Linked DNA regions of Macaca fascicularis. The protein of the gene in region 2 purifies or fractionates together with the protein of the main gene of each other region. This does not show direct contact. Links are inferred from orthologs where the notes say so. Each region holds a gene or a part of one and is shown on either strand. Other genes may lie near its edges. The genes, in order: TBL2 and EIF2AK3.

Region 1 (3,909 bases), on a different chromosome or scaffold from region 2:
TTTTTTTTAGTAGAGATGGTGTTTCACCATGATGGCAAGGCTGGTCTCCAACTCCTCACCTCAAGTGATCTGCCTGCCTTGGCCTCCCAAGGTGCTGGGATTATAGGTGTGAGCCACTGCGTCTCGCCCAACCTTGGTTTTCTTAAAGAGAGGTTGAGAGCTGGGCACAGTGGCTCATGCCTGTGACCCCAGCACTTTGGGAGGCTGAGGTAGGAGGATTGCTTGAGCTCAGGAGTTGGAGACCAGCCTGGTTAACAGAGTGACACCCCGTCTCTACAGAAAACTTTAATTAGCTGGGAATGGTGGCATGCGCCTGTGGTCCCAGCTATTCGGAGGCTGAGGAGGGAAAATTGCTTGAGCCCAGGAGTTCGAATGCAGTGATCACGCCACTGTATTCCGGCCTGGGGAACGGAATGAGATTCTGTCTCAAAAAAGATATAAATAAACAAAAATAAGGGAGATTGAATTGGATGAGATATCTACAAAATGACAAGCAAAAGTACCAAACACAAGCATTAAAGGCTTTATGGAGGCTGGGCGTGGTGGCTCACGCCTGTAATCCCAGCACTTTGGGAGGCTGAGGCAGCTGGATCATCTTGATGCCCAGGAGTTCCAGACCAGCCTGGCCAACATGGTGAAACCCCGTCTCTACTAAACATACAAAAATTAGCCGGGCACAGTGGCAGGCGCCTGCAATCTCAGCTACTTAGGAGGCTGAGTCAGGAGAATTGCTTGAACCCAGGAGGTGGAGGTTGCAGTGAGCCCAGATTGCGTCACTGCACTCCAGCACCCAAAAGAACTCGGGGTGGAGAAGTCAACATCTGTTGAGCCCTGTGCTGGAGAGTGGAGCCAATCACTTTTGCATAAGATACTTGAGTCACAAAGCTAGCATGTGTTAAATGACTGCAGATGCTCCCCAATTCCAACAGGAAAAAAGCTCCTGAGCCCTGCATACAAACAGAGCCACAATCTGTCCTCTGCTTCCTTCTCTCCAGGCTTGTCTAACAAGCCCCCCTCCTCACACTTAAGTCATACCAAATGCTGTTTGGGGACTCCTTGCCTGCTCGGGTATTGCCATTGGCAGGAATGTCTTTTTTCCTTGGCTTTGCGGCAAACTCTTATTCTAGAACCATCCTTTGAGACCCCACACTACCTCATGTGCCCCTATTCTCAGTAATGATTTCTCTAACAACCACCTCCCCAGTAAAAGAGCAGGGCTGGGCGGGGAACAGTGGTTCATGCCTATAATCCCAGCACTTTGGGAGGCCAAAGCAGGCAGATCATGAGGTCAGGAGATCGAGACCATTCTGGCTAACACGGTGAAACCCCGTCTCTACTAAAAAATACAAAAAATTAGCCGGGCGTGGTGGTGGTGGACGCTTGTAGTCCCAGCTACTCAGGAGGCTGAGGCAGGAGAATGGCATGAGCCTGGGAGGCGGAACTCGCAGTGAGCCAAGATCGCGCCACTGCACTCCAGCCTGGGAGGCAGAGCAAGACTCCGTCACCAAAAAAAAAAAAAAAAAAAAAAGGAGCAGGGCTGGCTGGGCACAGTGGTTCACACCTGTAATCCCAGCACTTTTGGAGGCCAGGACGAGTGGATCACCTGAGGTCAGGAGTTCGAGACCAGTCTGACCAACGTGGCAAAATCCCGTGTCTACTAAATATACAAAAATTCCTCAGGCCTGGTGGTGTGTGTGCCTGTAGTCCCAGCTACTCGGGAGGCAGAGGCAGAAGAATTGCTGGAACCCGGGAGGCGGAGGTTGCAGTGAGCCAAGATCCTGCCACTGTACTCCAGCCTGGGCAAGAAGAGCGAAACTCTGTCTCAAACATAAAAAGAGCAGGGCTGCCCATTCCCTCTCTGGTGTTTCCCGTTTCCAGTACTAACCTCTTCTATGAAACTTTTCAGAGACAGGCTCTTGCTGTCACCTGGGCTGGAGTGCAGTGGCGCGATTGATCACAGCTCACTGCAGCCTTGAACTCCTGGACTCACGCCACCCTCCTGCCTCGGCCTCCCATGGAGCTGGGACTACAGGGGCGTGCACAACCACACCCAGCTAATTTTTCGTAGAGATGGAGTCTTGCTATGTTGCTCAGGCTGGTCTCAAATTCCTGGGCTCAAGCGATCTCCCTGCCTCGGCCTCCCAAAGTCCTGGGAATACAGGCGTGAGCCACCGCGCCTGGCCTCAATGAAACTTATTTCACTGTTTTTCACTTACATGTTTAGGTGTTCATCACGCAGATGTACTTCTCCTTTACTGGACTCCTTACAGAAAAAGACCCCAAAGCCTATCACAGGGTCATAGATGCCCAGCAAATGCTGCCACACATCACAGAATTGGTGCTTTTTCTGAGATCGCTGAAGAGTTTACGGTGCTCTCCTGGCCACCCCGGGGACGGCCTAGCCTGGGCGACGGTGAAAGTCGCAGCGCGGGGCCCAGGTTGGAGCCAGTCCTGCCCCAGGGGGTGCGCCTAGCCCGGCGAGGCGGGCCCTCGTCTCTGGAAGCGAAGCTCACGTCACCAGAGGAGAAACTGAGGCCCATGGAGTCGCCGAGCCCCAACAGCCGCGGGCCCAAACCACAGCTCGGACCACGAGGAGGTCACGCGGGTCGCCCCCACCCGACCCGGCCCCACTTACAGGCGGGCCTGCCGCTCCTCTCCTCCGCGCGCAGCCACCCCCGCGCTACCGCCGCGGTCGCCATCAGGGCCAGCAGCCCAAGCAACACCGACAGCCCCATGAACTCCGGCATCTGCGAGAGCTCCATGTTGGCGGGGCCACTGCCACCTCAGCCAGTGAGTACGCGGGCGCCCGCACGGCTCTGCGGAGTCGCGCACGCACGCGGGGGCGGGGCCTGGCCGTTGGGGCGCCTCGAGCGGCGGGGCCTGGCCGTTAGAGCGCCTGGGGGCGGAGCCTGGTTGTTATAATACCTTCAGGGCGGGGCCTGGCCGTTAGAGCGTCTCAACGGGTGGGGCCCAGCTGTTGGGGCGCTAGAGGGGCGGGGCCTGACTGTTAGAGCGTCTCGAGGGGCGGGGCCTGATTGTTAGAGCTCCTTGAAGGCGGAGCCTGGCCGTTAGAGCGTCTCGAGGAGAGGAACCTGGTTATTAAAGCGCCTCGAGGGGCGGAGCCTGGGTTAGAGCGTCTCGAGGGGCCGAACCCAGAGGTAGAGCGTCTCGAGGGGCGGGACCTGGTTGTTAAAGCGCCTGGAGGGACAGAGCCTGGGTTAGAGCGTCTCGAGGGGCGGGGCCTGGAGTTAGAGAACGTCTCCAGGGGCGGGGCCTGGAGTTAGAGTATCTCCAAGCGCGGATCCTAGTTATTAGAGCGCCTCGAGAGGCGGAGCCTGGAGTTAGAGCGTCTCGAGGGGCGGGGCTGGGTTGTTAGCGCATCTTAAGGGGCAGAACCCGGAGGTAGAGCGTCTCGAGGGGCGGGGCCTGGCGGTAGAACATCTCGAGGGGCGAGGCCCGATTACTTGGTACGTTTCGAGGGGCGGGTCGCCTGGCGGTTGAGGTTGCAGAACCGCGGAGGGCGGAGGAAGGCGGGATTTGCAACCCCTGTTCACGCCTCCTCCTGAGGAACTCACTGATAATTGTTTATTAAAGGCGTTATTCCAGCCATCACCACACTGGATCCTCTCAAGGAAGCGGGCGGGGATTATTATTACCATTTAACGAACAGGAAACTCAGCATCAGCGAAAGATGAGACCGGCTTTTACTTTTACTGCTGGTGGAGAAGGGGGAAGAGTAGGCCAGGTGTGTGGTGTGGAACAGCCTCTGCAAAGACCTGAGAAGCTGGGATGTGGGAAATGCGAGAGGGGTGGAAAGGTCTGGGGGACGTTGAGCGCTGACTCCACCCAACAAGCTGCTCATTACAGGGAGAGGTGGGGCAAAAGCTGTGTCTGATGATTCCCTGGATG
Region 2 (3,909 bases):
GCAGACACTCTCATTCAGGGAGTGTGGGGTGGTGCCCGACTCCGGATTTTTAACATACTCCCAAGTGACCATGATGCTATTAGCATCAGGCTGTATACATATACACAGTCAGCTCTAACCTATTTTTCTAGCCTCATCTACTTCTCCCTGCCTAGCATACATACGTGCATGTCAATATCTCTTACGTACATACACACACACACACAAATAAACATATACATAGACAAAATGTTTTCCAAACATAATCTCCAGCCTCTGTGCCTCTTGCTGTTTCCTCAAGTCCAGTGACTGTCCATTACAATTTTCCCATTTTTCAGGAACCAATACATTCTGCCACAACCTTCTCTTATCTTGTTACCTATCCCCAATCCCATACCTCACCTAGTAGAATACCACAAAAACCCTGGGACATCCCTGACACTGGCACTGTTTCTGGTCTGTAATGCTGTTATAGATCTTCTCGTTTCATCCTTACTGTTAGACTGCACACTCTCCTGGAAGGCAGGATCTACCTGCCTGACCTCCGTCACCCAGGGCATCCTTGGGCTCTTGTTAACCAGTAAGTACCTGTTGAAGTGGATTTGAATTCTAAGAAAAACAAAACTCTACTTCATGTAATTCATTTTGAGCAGGAGCTTCAGAAATTTCTTTATGATAAACAAAAACACTCTTCCAGGAAAATTGAGTCATTAGCAAACCTAAGAAAACTTTGTTTTTTTTATATATATATACACATATATATATACACACACATATACATATATATACACACACTTTTTTTTTTTTTAACAAATGTTTATATATTCAAATGGTGCCTAGAGAATTTTGGTACCTATCTTATTTATAGTAGTCTGTAGATATATAGATCAAAGTTCTAATATTAATTTAAAATTAAATCTAACTTGTTATGATCTAGTAATGACTATATTATAAGTCTAAAATATGTTCCAATCCAGAGCCCAGCCTTCCCTGGTTTAATTTACTTAATGCTCCCTTTAACACTCCATTTATAAAATGGGACATCACTTTCTCCACGGGTGTGATAAGATTGGCTGTCCCAGAAATTTACTGTTAACATGCCTTACATTGTGTCTAGACTTTGAAAAGTGCTTTAAAACAATCACCTTGAAGCAATATTTTTTGAATGCTGAGAAACTCAAAGAAAACCCTATATTAAATGTTTATACAGTAAACCCCCCTTATTCAAGAACCCAACTACGGCTCTTAGGTTCAAGAATCAATATTCAAGAATTTGACTACAGCTCTTAAACTTTAGCGTGCAAGAATTACCCGGAGTGCTTGTTAAACATGCAGATGTCAGGCTCTTACCCAGGGAATGTCTGATTCAGTAAAACTGGGGTGGGCCCTAGAAAACTGCAGATTTCACCAGCACCCCCAGGTGATTCGGATGCAGGTGTTCCGCAGATCTCAATTAGAGAGACACTGATCTCAATCCTTGCCTGGGTGCACTACATAGTTGTGTTTGAAGGAAAATGCAGACGTCTTTTGCTAAAGTCCTTTCTCAAAACAGCTGTTACGCCAGCACAGACAGGAGGCGATGTGAGTAAGGAAAAAGAGGGAAAGGTTCCTTGGAAGATAATCAATGCTCGAAAACAATGAAAGAGGGGAAGTGGCGTTTCTTTGCAACCCTGGAATTTCATTCTCCCGCACCTGCGAGGATGCTGCTCTCACCCGTCGGCCAGGACCAGGCGCTCGGGAGCCGAGCCCAGGCAGGTCGCTGGCCGGGGGATGGGAGGGCGTCGTGGCCCCGCGCTCGTCCCCAAGTCGCCAGGTGCCCTCGCAGCCGAAGGAAGACGCCCGCCCGGGTACCGGATCTCCGCCCCCTGACACCGCATCCTCCGCAGCTCGCGCGCGTAAACAAGTTGCCTCCCCAGGGTCGGCAGCCCCTCACCTGCCGCGCGGTGGCAACTCTGCCTCATCGTCTGGTTCCGGACCCCGCGGCTCCTGCTCGCCCGCGGCCGCCGGCAGCGCCTCAGCGTCCTCCACAGTCACCTCGGCCGCAGCCACGGCGCCCGCCGCCGGTACTCGCGTCGCTGAAGTGGGAGCAGCGGCCGCCCCGAGGCCGAACGCCGCCTCCGCCGTCGGCGCTGGGAGGCCACGGGCGCGCCCCGCGGCCACAGTCCATGCCGCGAGCCCCAGCAGCAGCGGCAGCAGCAGCGCCAGTACCAGCAGCCCCGGGCGGGTGGCGCGCTCCATCAGCGGCCCGCCCCGCGCGCAGGCATGGAGGCGCAGCCACTGGCGTCTGCCTTTCCCGCCGCTCGGAGCTCTCACCAAGGCAAAGACGCGCTAGGGACCCTACCGCCGTCCCGACGGCCTGGACAGCCAGCCGTGTTCCCCTGGCCACGTCTCAGCCCGGCCTCTGCCGCTGCCACCTGAGTGACAGCCTCTCTCGGACATCACCCATTGAGCAAACTTTCCGCGCTTCTGCTCTCTCATTGGCTGCGGCCGCTGCCACTCTAGGTTCCCAGGCTGGCCTTGTTGGGGAAGGCGGACTTTCCCTGGTTGTCAACATCGCACCAACCAATCAAATCGTAATTGCGTCGTTCGAGGCCCGTCCCTCTTCCGGACGCAATTACCAATGAGAAATGCCCCTCCCCGACGTCTTTTTACCTGATTGGTGTGCTCATCAGTTCCCGGAATACCTTTCCTGCAACAGATTGGCCATCGCGGTGGTTGGCCTCGCCCCACAAAGCAAGGCGCTGGAGAAAACTTCAAGATCATTGGTGGAAGTGGATATCCCTCAAAGGTCTGCGCTAACTGCCTCTTGATTGGTTGGAAGCGGCACTTACTACGTGGCGGATTCTGACTGTGAAGAGGACGGTCCCAAGTGAAGGGACGGTCCCAAGTGAAGAGTGGGAGGCAAGTCCCTTATGAGCGGCAGGAGGTCGACCTTAAAGGAGCTGGCATTGTAGCTCTTCTAAAGCCTAGTCTACTTAGGAAGGCAAAAGCGAAGTAGGAAGAAGTGGCCATAGAAGTCGTGTGGCCCCTAGAAGTGGAAGGGTAAGGAGGGTGCAGGAGATGGGCCTACTTGTGGCCGCAACTGTGCTCAGAAGTCCGCTTGTTAGAGATGACAGTGACTTGCGACAATCCAGTCTACCCGACACGCCTCCCGCCTCCTTAGGAACGGGAAGGAGCCCCGGCCCGGTGCACTGACGTATTTTGCCTAAGATCACATAGCTGGTTGGTCACAGAATCATGACTTTAATTCATGTCTTCTGACTCTGACCTGGCACGCTTTGTACCTCACCAAAGACAGTGATGAAACTGCAAAAGGGCAGAGTGGAGAAGATTGGAATGTTCAGCCAAGGCATTTGAACTTTTAATACTGCAAGTCAAGACTTCCTGAAGATTTTTGAGCAGATGAGTGAAGTGATAAGAAAATGCATCTTCAGCAGTGACAGCATCAATGATGAGGAAACTAGCCGGGAGGCTATTACCCGCATCAAAACCAGTGAACATTAAAAAAAAATTTTTTTAGAGAGAGGGTCTTGCTCTTTTGCCCAGGCTGGAGTGCAGTGGCTTGATCATAGCTCACTGTAACCTTGAATTCCTGCGTTCAAGCGATCTTCCTGCCTCAGCTTCTGGAGCAGCTGGGACTATAGATGCGTGCTAGGCCAATTTTTAATTTTGTTTTGTAAAGATGGGGTTTCTGTGTTGCCCAGGTTGGCCTCAAGCCATCCTCCTGCCTCAGCCTCCCAAAGTTCTGGGATTACAGGCATTACCCACTGCACCTGGTCCAAAACCAGTGAAGATGTGTTAAAGTGTTGGCAATATGGGTATACTAGATTATCCTTCACCTGCTAAAAACATGCTCTAATCTCTCCCCAGCCCAAAACAAACAAGAAACCCCATTTCCCCTTCCAGCTCCTACCACATGTCTTGGCTCCT

The links.
Region 1: the proteins of EIF2AK3 (region 2) and TBL2 purify together in Homo sapiens (affinity purification with western blotting; 3 studies listed by BioGRID). This does not show direct contact. The link is inferred for Macaca fascicularis from reciprocal best matches to the Homo sapiens genes EIF2AK3 and TBL2.

What each region holds. Positions count from the first base shown.
Region 1 is NC_088377.1:52,443,312-52,447,220, forward strand, and holds the start of TBL2 (transducin beta-like protein 2), read right to left. Parts: upstream 2,793-3,909; 5' UTR 2,763-2,792; coding exon 2,636-2,762; exon of another isoform or gene 2,217-2,635; intron 1-2,216.
Region 2 is NC_088387.1:22,339,028-22,342,936, reverse strand, and holds the start of EIF2AK3 (eukaryotic translation initiation factor 2-alpha kinase 3), read right to left. Parts: upstream 2,407-3,909; 5' UTR 2,218-2,406; coding exon 1,913-2,217; intron 1-1,912. UniProt on the Homo sapiens protein: Metabolic-stress sensing protein kinase that phosphorylates the alpha subunit of eukaryotic translation initiation factor 2 (EIF2S1/eIF-2-alpha) in response to various stress, such as unfolded protein response (UPR).